3 linked regions of the Cricetulus griseus genome follow. The protein of the gene in region 2 purifies or fractionates together with the protein of the main gene of each other region. This does not show direct contact. Links are inferred from orthologs where the notes say so. Each region holds a gene or a part of one and is shown on either strand. Other genes may lie near its edges.

Region 1 (3,522 bases), about 120 Mb from region 2:
CCAACCTGAGTTTGATTCCCCAGGACCCACATGGTGGAAGAAGAGAACCAAGTCCTGCAAATTGCCCTCTGACCTCCACACAGACACCCTGGAATGCAAGACTCCACCACCCCATAAAATGTAACTGAAAACATTTTAATAGATATCAATGTGCTCATCTTTCTATCAATACAGTCTTCAGCAAGATGTTTAAACATCTGCTTATGAAGGAAGGGACTTTGAAGGCAAATGTCTACCTTGGACCCTACCTTGATTTGGCACCAATATGGGGAGGGATGGGTGCCTCACCGTGCACTTGTGCGGCTTCTCGCCCGTGTGTCTACGCATGTGCACCACCAGCATGTACTGGGCTTTGAAGGGTCTCAGCTCCCTGGAGCAGCCCCCCCAATGGCACACGAACTCCTTCCGCTCCCCATGGATATGTTCACTGTTGATATGCTGAGGAGGGAGAAGACGAGGCTTTCTGGGGTTCCCGATGCCACCCAAACCCGGGACATATCCCTTTCGTTCAGCCCCCCATTCATCCTCCTCAGCACTGCCTCCTGGGGGAGTTAAAGGTCAGGAAGGCAGCATATCCCACACTTGGGGTCTTTTAGCCTTCTATAGAAAAGCTACTCCAAGCTTTGGGTTGCAGGATTGAGCATGCCATCTCTGACCCCAGGATCCTTGAACCACCTGCTCTGCCCTTGAGCAGACCATAATGACCCACTCAGTCTCCTACAGGCTCCCACCAACCATCTGTCATCCCCTGGGGCTCACATGCACCAGCTGCTCCTGGGAGTCAAACTCCTGGCTGCAGCCATCCCAGCGGCAGTCAGTCTCATACACAGATTCAGGCTCAGGTTTCTCCTCCAGGTCCTCCCGCCCATCAAGCATCCCAAGCAGGGGATCCTAGGGCAAAGGACACACTCTTAGGGTCATGGGTGGCAAGTTTTGTTTTGCTCAGGTCCCACAGAGAGCACCCTGCCCTTTCCCTTACCTGTGTGCCTGTGGAGTTGGGGCTAGACATGTCCCCTTCCAACGGCTCCTCTGGGCATTTGCCTACCAGCATGTCCAGCTCTGACTTCAGCTTCTCCAGGGAAAGAGGTGAGGGTAGTGAGGATGGAGTAGTCAGAAGGGAAAGCGTGCCAGGTTTTTCTGCCCTATGGGCCCCCACCCAATAGCAGGACTCCTGTGAGTGTGGAAGGACTTCCTCCACAGCCCGCACTGGCGAATGGGATGGACAGGTGTGCTCTCATCTGAGAAAGTCTGAGTCAACCCTGCTGAGGGAAGGGGTGGGGCTGCCATCTATACCTCTACCTTCCCAGTACCAAAGGCTTTTATGTGTACTGGCTTCCTTCACCTGCCCCGCTGCTGCTAAGTCTACTACCCACCTATCCTGAGTCGGGGAAGCCAAGTAAGATGGCAATGTGGAGAGTCCCACCTGGCAGGTCTGACGTGGTCTCCGGGACTGAGGATGCAGCATCATTGCACCCCGAGTAGAGTCTTGTGGAACACAGGGCTGGACTCCATAGGAAGGCGAAGTCCCTTTTTGGTGACTCATCTGGGGTGGGAATCCTAGAGATGGGCTAGATGAAGAGGAGGCTGTTATTTAAGACTATCAGTCATCGGAATCCTTGCTCTATTTTGTGGGTTTCTGGAAGGCTTGGTTGAGTAAGCCCAGGGAGATTCTGAAAAGGGTTCCCCTTTGGGAGGGTTAGGGGTTCAAGTTGGGCTGGAGGTTTGAAGGGTCCGAGTCTTCTAATGGGTTTCAGTACATATTTTAGGGGTCTCTTAGTTTGAGGTGCCAGCACCTCATGGTGCCAATGGAGAGATGGCCATAGGAGCCTCCTGGAGATGTGCAGCGTGAGTTGATGAAAGCCACAAGAGAGCTGGGTGAGGTACGGATGACAGTCTGTAGATCCAGGCTGGCATCGGACAGAGGTGAGATGGACAGTGCCCGCTTCTTTGTCAATTTGACTGAACTCCGGGGAGGAGGAAAGAGTGGCCCTAGGGCAGGAGATAGGAGTCAAGAAACAGCAAAGGGGGCTGGAGAGGCAGCTCAGTGGTTAAGAGCACTAGCTGCTCTTCCAAAGGACTTGAGTTTGGTTCCCAGCACCCACACCAGCACAACCACCTATAACTCCAGCTCCAAGGATGCCCCGCACCTTTGCAATCACATGTGCAAACCCACACAGACACAAACACATACATTATTTAAAAAAATAAAATTTAGGGGCCTGGAGAGATGGCTCAGAGGTTAAGAACACTGGCTGCTCTTCCAGAGGTCCTGAGTTCAATTCCCAGCAACCACGTGGTGGCTCACAACTGTCTGTAATGAGATCTGGTGCCCTCTTTTGGTGTGCAGGCAGACACGCAGGCAAAACACTATATACATAATAAATTTTAAAAATTTTCAGAAAGAAAAGAAAGATGCAGTAAAGGTACATGCACTCAGTATGTGGGGCCTGACTCAAAAATTTATTTATTTATTTATTTATTTATTTATTGGTTTTTCGAGACAGGGTTTCCCTGTGTAGCTTTGGAGCCTATGCTGGCACTCTGACTGGCCTTGAACTCACAGAGATCCGCCTGCCTCTGCCTCCCGAGTGCTGGGATTAAAGGCGTGTGCCACCAAGAATTTTTTTATTTTATTATTAATTAATTTTTTAATTTTTATTTTATTATTAATAAAGAATTATTTATTTTATTATTAATTAATTTTTTAATTTTTATTTATTTATTTTTTTTGCCTTGCTCAACCTAGGACTTCTTGATGGCTCTCTGATCCCTGTCATCTCTGGACACTTCTTCCATTGATCTTCGTCCTTGCCTTCCCACTTCCTCCTTCCGAACAAGTCCCAGAGGGGCAGAGAGGGGACAGAGATCGCCTGAGTCCTCACCCTCAGAACAGCCGTTGGTCTCTCTGGCAGACCCATAACCCTGGGACCCTGATATAAAGTTGGCTTGGTGGCAAAAGGGCAAACCAGAAAATCCTAGAAAAGAGAGACAGCTGGAATGGGGCATTTGGATGGGGACACACAGGGCTTACCTTGAGACCCCACGTGAGATATGACCCCCAGCTCCAAGCATGCATGGCATGGGGTCTCAAATCCTCCTGTAGATAGGAAACTATTGTGGGGGAGGAATGAGGCTGAGAGGGATCCTAGGTGAGAGATCCGCCAAGCCCTCAAGGCCCAGGGACTGGTAAACACACTCACCTTCTGTCCCCAGGCTGGGGACCCCTTGGCTGGGGAGGGGTCGGAGGCAGCACGGCTCACCATAGCTATTGGCTTGTGGTGGAGTCATTGAGTTGAACATGGTGTCTCAGAGGCGGATGAGGGGCACTGCAGAAAGGAATGCAGATTTGCAAAGTTATAACCATGGTGAGAAACTAGATATATGGCAATCTCAGGCCAGCATGTCCCTCGTGCCCCGAACCTCTCTCTCAGAGACTGGTCATGGAAATCAAGTTGAAAATAATATCATTCAGCGGCGTTAAAATAGGAAGAAACAGCCCCAAGGGCAGGCAGAAGCAGCCTG
Region 2 (3,522 bases):
GCCCACCAATGCTATGTACCAATTACATCACTTGGCCCTTTTCCTAGAAAGTGCTGGAAGGGGGAAAATCACTTCCATTAACATCCTCTAGCCCGGCTTGCTTACCTTTTCTCTTTTCCACTTGGTTTCCAGCCTGTCTCTCCTATATGTCAACAAAATTAAACACTAAATGAGAACTGCTCTGGGTCAAGAGAATAACATACTTACTACTTATTAAAAGCACCATACATGACAGCCATGTCTCAATAAATGTCTTATTTGGGGAAACACACTGAAATTAATAGCATTTGTTTTCTTTTTCATACAGCTTACAACATAAAATGCTTTCCCAGACTGGCAGCTATATTAGTATATCTTGTTCTCTTAATTGATTTATTAATTTCTTTTGTAGTGCTAGGAATTAAAGCCAACATCTCACATCACTACTGAGACAAGTGCTCTATCCCTGAGCTATGATCTCAGCTGGTTAGTGTTTGCTAAGGCAGGAATTCCAGCTCTTCAAAAGATAGAAGAAAAGGAGAAGAAACCAGTACTATCTATGTTTAAACTGCAAGTCAGAAATCTTCAATTAGCACACAACAAAGTGCTGCTGTTATTTTAGCTCAGCGCAGGGCTCTGTGCTGTGTGGTTTGGCCAAGTCCCTGATTGTGATGTAGATGGTTTACAGGGACCTGGTGTCTGAGGGATCTGGAGTTGATTCTTCTGTTCTCCTTTAAAAAGTTACTTTGGCTCTATCTCAGTTTACCTACCTACAAAACAAAACTACAGAAACTAGGTGGTATTGGCCCTTGTGACATGAGTTCTTTTTTTTTTTTTTTTAGTCCAAATAGCTAAACATTTGACAAAAGATGGAAAAGTAATGAATTGGGAACAAATAAAAACAGAAGAATGCCTGGCACCATTAGGCATTCAACATTGGGGCAACTACTCTGCTATTAACAGTGACAACACAGGGAAGTGTGAAACCCAGGTTCAGCATCCAGAGAACTGGAATAGGGCAGATGCAATGAAAGAGCATCCTGTCTCTTTCCTGAAGAACTTTAGTTTTGTCATTGGGTTCTGGGGTGGGGTGAGTAGTAATTATAAGAACTTAGGTTCAAACCAAATAAGATTACCAAATGATATTAATAGTTTTCAATCTACAAACCCCAATTATTTTGTATGGTTTAACCCAGTACAGTTTATTTTTAGCATGTTAAAAAGAATTCCTAAGAAAGGTACTGTAAAATAAAAACTTCAAACGACTGATGTGACTTCCATCATGCATGGAGAGGAGAAAAGAAGAGGCAATGGGTTCATGCAGGTGACAGTGGCATCAAGGCGGGTTGTCCACAGCAGGCCATTTGGAGAGCAGAATGGGTTGCTTCTTGTTCTGAACTTTTGCATGCTAACTTATACAACCATTTGAAGATGAGTTCCTCAATTTGTAAAAACAAAGATCCAAAGTTTCCATGCTATTTAATAGATACTGCTGTTGCCAACTATCCCAACTATCGTGTACAAGTACAAGGCCTTAATTATGTATATTAGTAATAACTCTTTTAAAGGTACTCTGGGTTTAGTTAGGAAGAAAACACATTAGAAAGTCTTTATTACTGCCCTACCCATCCCCATGTAGTGTCTCACTTTAGCCTCTAACCTCAAATTCTACATCCTGCCTTAGTCTCTCAATGCTGGGATTACAGGAAAGCATCCCACAACTAGTTTGCTGCCTATTTCAAAGACCAGAAGCACCACACATGGAAAGAGGGCAGGTGAAAGCTTTTCAAATGACTGTACTCTGGTAATCACTTCAAACTTATCTTACAGATCTACAGAAGAGTTTGCTTTTTAAAAGTGTCTATACATACTGATTCCAGGAATGCTTTCTATAGGAATCTGCCGAACTCCATCTTTGAAACATGATAGTCCAGGGTAGACTTTTCGAATCTGGGCTTGTTTTCTTTCTATCAGCTTTTTAATGATCTGAAAAGCATGAGGGAAAATGTGTTCAGTCAAACACACCCCACACCATAATCCAGGGCAGTCAGATAAAACTAAGGAGATGATGCTCCTGATGCTGTACACATGTTCTTGAGACAAAAAAGGAGAGAAGGCTGAAGACAAATTACCAGGTAAGAGGCAGAAGCATTTCAGGACCTGTGACATGGCTCAGTGGGTAAAGGCACCTGTCACCAAGCCTAATGACCTGAGTTCAATCCCTGGCATTCCACATGGTAGAAGGAGAGAGTCAACCCCAGCAAGTTCTTATCTGGCCAGAACACATGTCATGGAGTGTGTGTGTTATACATAAAATAATACAAAAATTTTAAATATATATTTTAAAAAGAAATATTCTTTTATAACACACTCAACTAGTGACATTCACACAAACCTTTGCCACTAAGTAAAGGACCATCAAAGAGAAGGAAAGAGAGGGGCTGACTAAAGAGGCTAGCAGGGGCCCTCCAGGTCCAGCCTCTTGTAGTCTCATATGTGAGCTGAAATAGAAAAATCACCCTCCATACCAACCTACATACATACGCAGACAACTTTACAGCTCCCTCACCCTTTCTCTTGCTCAAGTCGTGCCCTTCTTCCTCACAGGACACACGGTCTTACTGTTCTTGTGTCCATCATCTTATATATTGGAAGTGACCTTACCTTTGGTTATGCCACCCCAATTCATACAGTTATTCAGTGAAGCCAGCTCACCTGTGGAGCAGTAGGCATTTCTCTCTGCCTTCAGCTGATTTTGATCAAGTACACATTCAGAGACTAGAAAAGTTCTCAATTCACACAGCTCATTCATTGCTTTTATTATTCAAGGAGCTTTCCACAAGTAGAGTCTGGCATTTTAGAGTATTTCAAATTGTGGATTCTCTCATTAAAGATGCTGTTATAAGTCAATGGAAATAGTGGAGAAGAACGAAATAGATTCGAAAATGCTTGGGTCAGGAGCATTTTGGATAAGAGATACTTAGCCTTGTGGTAATATCTTTCTTGCACAAATAAAGCCTGTCTGAAGGTCAGATAATGGAGCTTGCCACTAGCTAACCATAGAGGTCTGGAGGTCTGTACTGACAGACAGGAAATGATGTAGCTGGGCAGAACCAGGATATAAGAGGAGACAAACAGGAAATAGCTCTCTTCTCTGCTGAGACGCTTAGGAGGTAAGGTGTGCTGTGGCTTGCTCCTTCTCTCTGATCTCTCAGCATTTCCCTCTATATCTGACTCTGGCCTTTTATTATCTAGACCAATTAAGAACACCTTTTACATAGTCTGTTTCTACAAGAAAAGAATTTTATTTTGGTATGATGCAGCTCTCTTTTAAAAATCTAGTTTGGAACACTGAGCATACGGCTGTGAGGGGAAAGACACAGATGGAACATTTTTATCAACTCATCCTTCCCCAAAGGCTCAGAGAAGCCTGGAAGAAGGGAGGGGCAGAAAGAACATAAGAGGCAGCAGATATGGAGGAAGGCTGTGAAAGGATGGCATGGACACCATTCGGCCGGTGCAGACACACAGGAATCTGTCTGC
Region 3 (2,337 bases), on a different chromosome or scaffold from region 2:
TCTTTGACCAAGACTGTCCAACAATAATAAACCTGGTGTACCTAAGTGTATACGTTCCCTCACTTCACACACCGGACTACAATCTTGCGGTACCTTGATCACTCCACTATACTACTTTTTTTTGCACAAATGTTTCTATTTGTGCATTGGGTGAATGCAAAGACTGGGCCTGTGTGTCCCAGCACCCAAGTAAACTTATTAACCGGTTTATCTTGGACTCGAATAGGCTCTGCGTGTCCAGCTCCTCTGGCAAGCAAACAAGTTTGGGACTTCTCAGTCCCTAGCTCGGTGAAGCTACCGCGGCCAGTCCCCAGAGCCAGCCTGCTCGGCCCCAAGGCTGGCCCGCCCCGCAGCCGCACCTGGGTCCTGGTCACTGCCGCGGCCGCCACAGCACCGCACAGGAAGGCGGCAGCGAAGAGCGCGAGCTCAACTCGCTGCAACCAGGTGAGCGCCATGGCGCACAGGACACCAGGAAGCCAACCGCCCAAGCCCCGCCCACGAGCACAGACACGTCACTTCCTGGTGCGGATTTATTCTTGGAGGGGCGGCAGCCTCACAGCGGCAGGTACAGCGAGTAGTCCGAGAGCGGCCAGCGTCGGGCCGGGCGGCCGGTGCGGCCGATCATGGGCAATTTCTGCACGTAGCGGGAGGCCGGGCTGGGCCCGTAGGGCGCGGGGAAAGCAGTCTGGAAGAGGCGCCCGCGACAGCGCCGCCCGGCCTGACGCCCAGCGATGATAAATCGGAAGTGCGGGGCGCCGCGGGGCGCAAAGCGGCTCTTCTGGAAGACGTCTCGCGTGCCCGCGCCGGGCCCCTGCTGACGGGGAGCGCCCCGCGCCCGGTGCACGCGCGGCAGCGGCCTGCTCTCCGAAGCGGTGGAGGCGGCCGCCGGGCCTCCGCCGAGCGGGCTCTCGTCCCCCTGCGGGCTGACCACGGCGCTAGCGGTCAGCTGCGGCATTTTCCGCACCGAGTCCGGGGCGGCCACTGGCTCCTTCTTGTCTCCGGGTGGTCGCGGGGCCGTGGGCGTGGGCTGGCCAGTGCCGAAGCGAGTGGCCAAGCTGTCACCGAAGAAGGCGTACAACTCACGGTAGATGTCTGCCAGGGTCAAGGAAGAAGGGTCCTCTGGCCCCGCGCCTCCTGGCGGCAGCGGGAGACCAGACCCAAAGCCTGGTTCGGCGCCGCCCCCCGGAGGAGACTCTTGGAGGAGAAGGCTGTCCCAAGGCAAGTCCTCCGCACGATGGCACAGTCTCCCGCCAGAGCCACCGCGGCTGGGCTCTGCTGCCTGGGCTTTCATCTTCAGTAGTCGCTCTACGGCCACCTGTAAACAAAGAGCTAGAAGAAACCTGGACCAGCAGGCATCTCAAAGTAAACCTGCTGAGCTACTGTAAGAAAGGGAAGCTGGGCCTCGCTACTCACCAGAATCGCTCCATAGACTTTGTGCCCATCTGCTTTGACTTGGGCATTAGATACGGAATAGTCATCCAGCACCGCCTGCAGGTTTGTCCAGTATGTGGGCAGATGTGGGTACAGGACTCGTTCTACTGCCTACAAGGGAAAAAAGGAATACAGTAAGCAACCTCGTTCTATATGCCCTCTTGAGTAACCTTTCCCACAAAAGACCCACTTGGAATGTTGTCGGGCTCAGTCCTCAGTTCTCTCATTGAGATAGATATCCATCGATTCTCTGGGATCTACTATATGTACAATCTTTTGGTAGGCATGAAGGATAAAGACATACAAATACAGGCAATATAAAAAAATCCATTACTGGCCGGGCGTTGGTGGAGCACGCCTTTAATCCCAGCACTCGGGAGGCAGAGGCAGGCGGATCTCTATGAGTTCGAGGCCAGCCTGGTCTAAAAAGCAAGTGCCAGGATAGGCTCCAAAGCTACACTGAGAAACCCTGTCTCGAAAAAAAAATTATATTAGCCTTTTACAGTGGGCTAATATGACATAATTAAATCATTATGACAGAAATTGTTTGTAGACTGCTAGTGAACACAATTGGCGGGAAAGTGCTGTTCTTACTAGAGAAACAGGAGCTGCACAAAAACAATCAAGACACCTTATTGAAATGAGCTTGCTGGGAGCCCAGACTCTGGGATTATAGGCAGTGTACTACCACACATGGCTTTGACTGTACAGTTTTAAATTGAGTAGTTATCAGGTGGACTAAACAAAACCCTGCCAAAGCTATTATATTTGAGATGGTCTTTGACATGTAAGGTAGACTTGGATCACTCACCCACGGAGCATGAACTTTTGAAAATGCTAACCACCTGTCAAATTCCTAGGAAAAATGTTACTGACAAAAAAGAAACGGGGATTACATTTTAAATA

The links. The genes of interacting proteins can lie anywhere in the genome.
Region 1: the proteins of Kat2b (region 2) and Gli1 purify together in Homo sapiens (affinity purification with western blotting; 3 studies listed by BioGRID). This does not show direct contact. The link is inferred for Cricetulus griseus from reciprocal best matches to the Homo sapiens genes KAT2B and GLI1.
Region 3: the proteins of Kat2b (region 2) and Taf6l purify together in Homo sapiens (affinity purification with mass spectrometry; 5 studies listed by BioGRID and IntAct, counting the BioPlex papers as one, with this or other methods). This does not show direct contact. The link is inferred for Cricetulus griseus from reciprocal best matches to the Homo sapiens genes KAT2B and TAF6L.

The regions. Positions count from the first base shown.
Region 1 is NW_023276806.1:130,393,509-130,397,030, reverse strand, and holds part of Gli1 (zinc finger protein GLI1), read right to left. Parts: exon of another isoform or gene 3,421-3,522; intron 3,333-3,420; exon of another isoform or gene 3,327-3,332; 5' UTR 3,301-3,326; coding exon 3,201-3,300; intron 3,098-3,200; coding exon of another isoform or gene 3,032-3,097; intron 2,976-3,031; coding exon 2,883-2,975; intron 1,990-2,882; coding exon 1,794-1,989; intron 1,569-1,793; coding exon 1,424-1,568; intron 1,073-1,423; coding exon 980-1,072; intron 892-979; coding exon 760-891; intron 439-759; coding exon 289-438; intron 1-288. UniProt on the Homo sapiens protein: Acts as a transcriptional activator. Binds to the DNA consensus sequence 5'-GACCACCCA-3'. Regulates the transcription of specific genes during normal development.
Region 2 is NW_023276806.1:249,617,842-249,621,363, forward strand, and holds part of Kat2b (histone acetyltransferase KAT2B), read right to left. Parts: exon of another isoform or gene 3,322-3,522; intron 1,966-3,321; coding exon 1,851-1,965; intron 143-1,850; coding exon 106-142; intron 1-105. UniProt on the Homo sapiens protein: Functions as a histone acetyltransferase (HAT) to promote transcriptional activation. Has significant histone acetyltransferase activity with core histones (H3 and H4), and also with nucleosome core particles.
Region 3 is NC_048596.1:51,319,394-51,321,730, reverse strand, and holds the end of Taf6l (TAF6-like RNA polymerase II p300/CBP-associated factor-associated factor 65 kDa subunit 6L), read right to left. Parts: intron 1,543-2,337; coding exon 1,414-1,542; intron 1,316-1,413; coding exon 554-1,315; 3' UTR 513-553; downstream 1-512. Other genes in the region: Tmem179b (transmembrane protein 179B), read right to left, coding at 360-455. UniProt on the Homo sapiens protein: Functions as a component of the PCAF complex. The PCAF complex is capable of efficiently acetylating histones in a nucleosomal context. The PCAF complex could be considered as the human version of the yeast SAGA complex.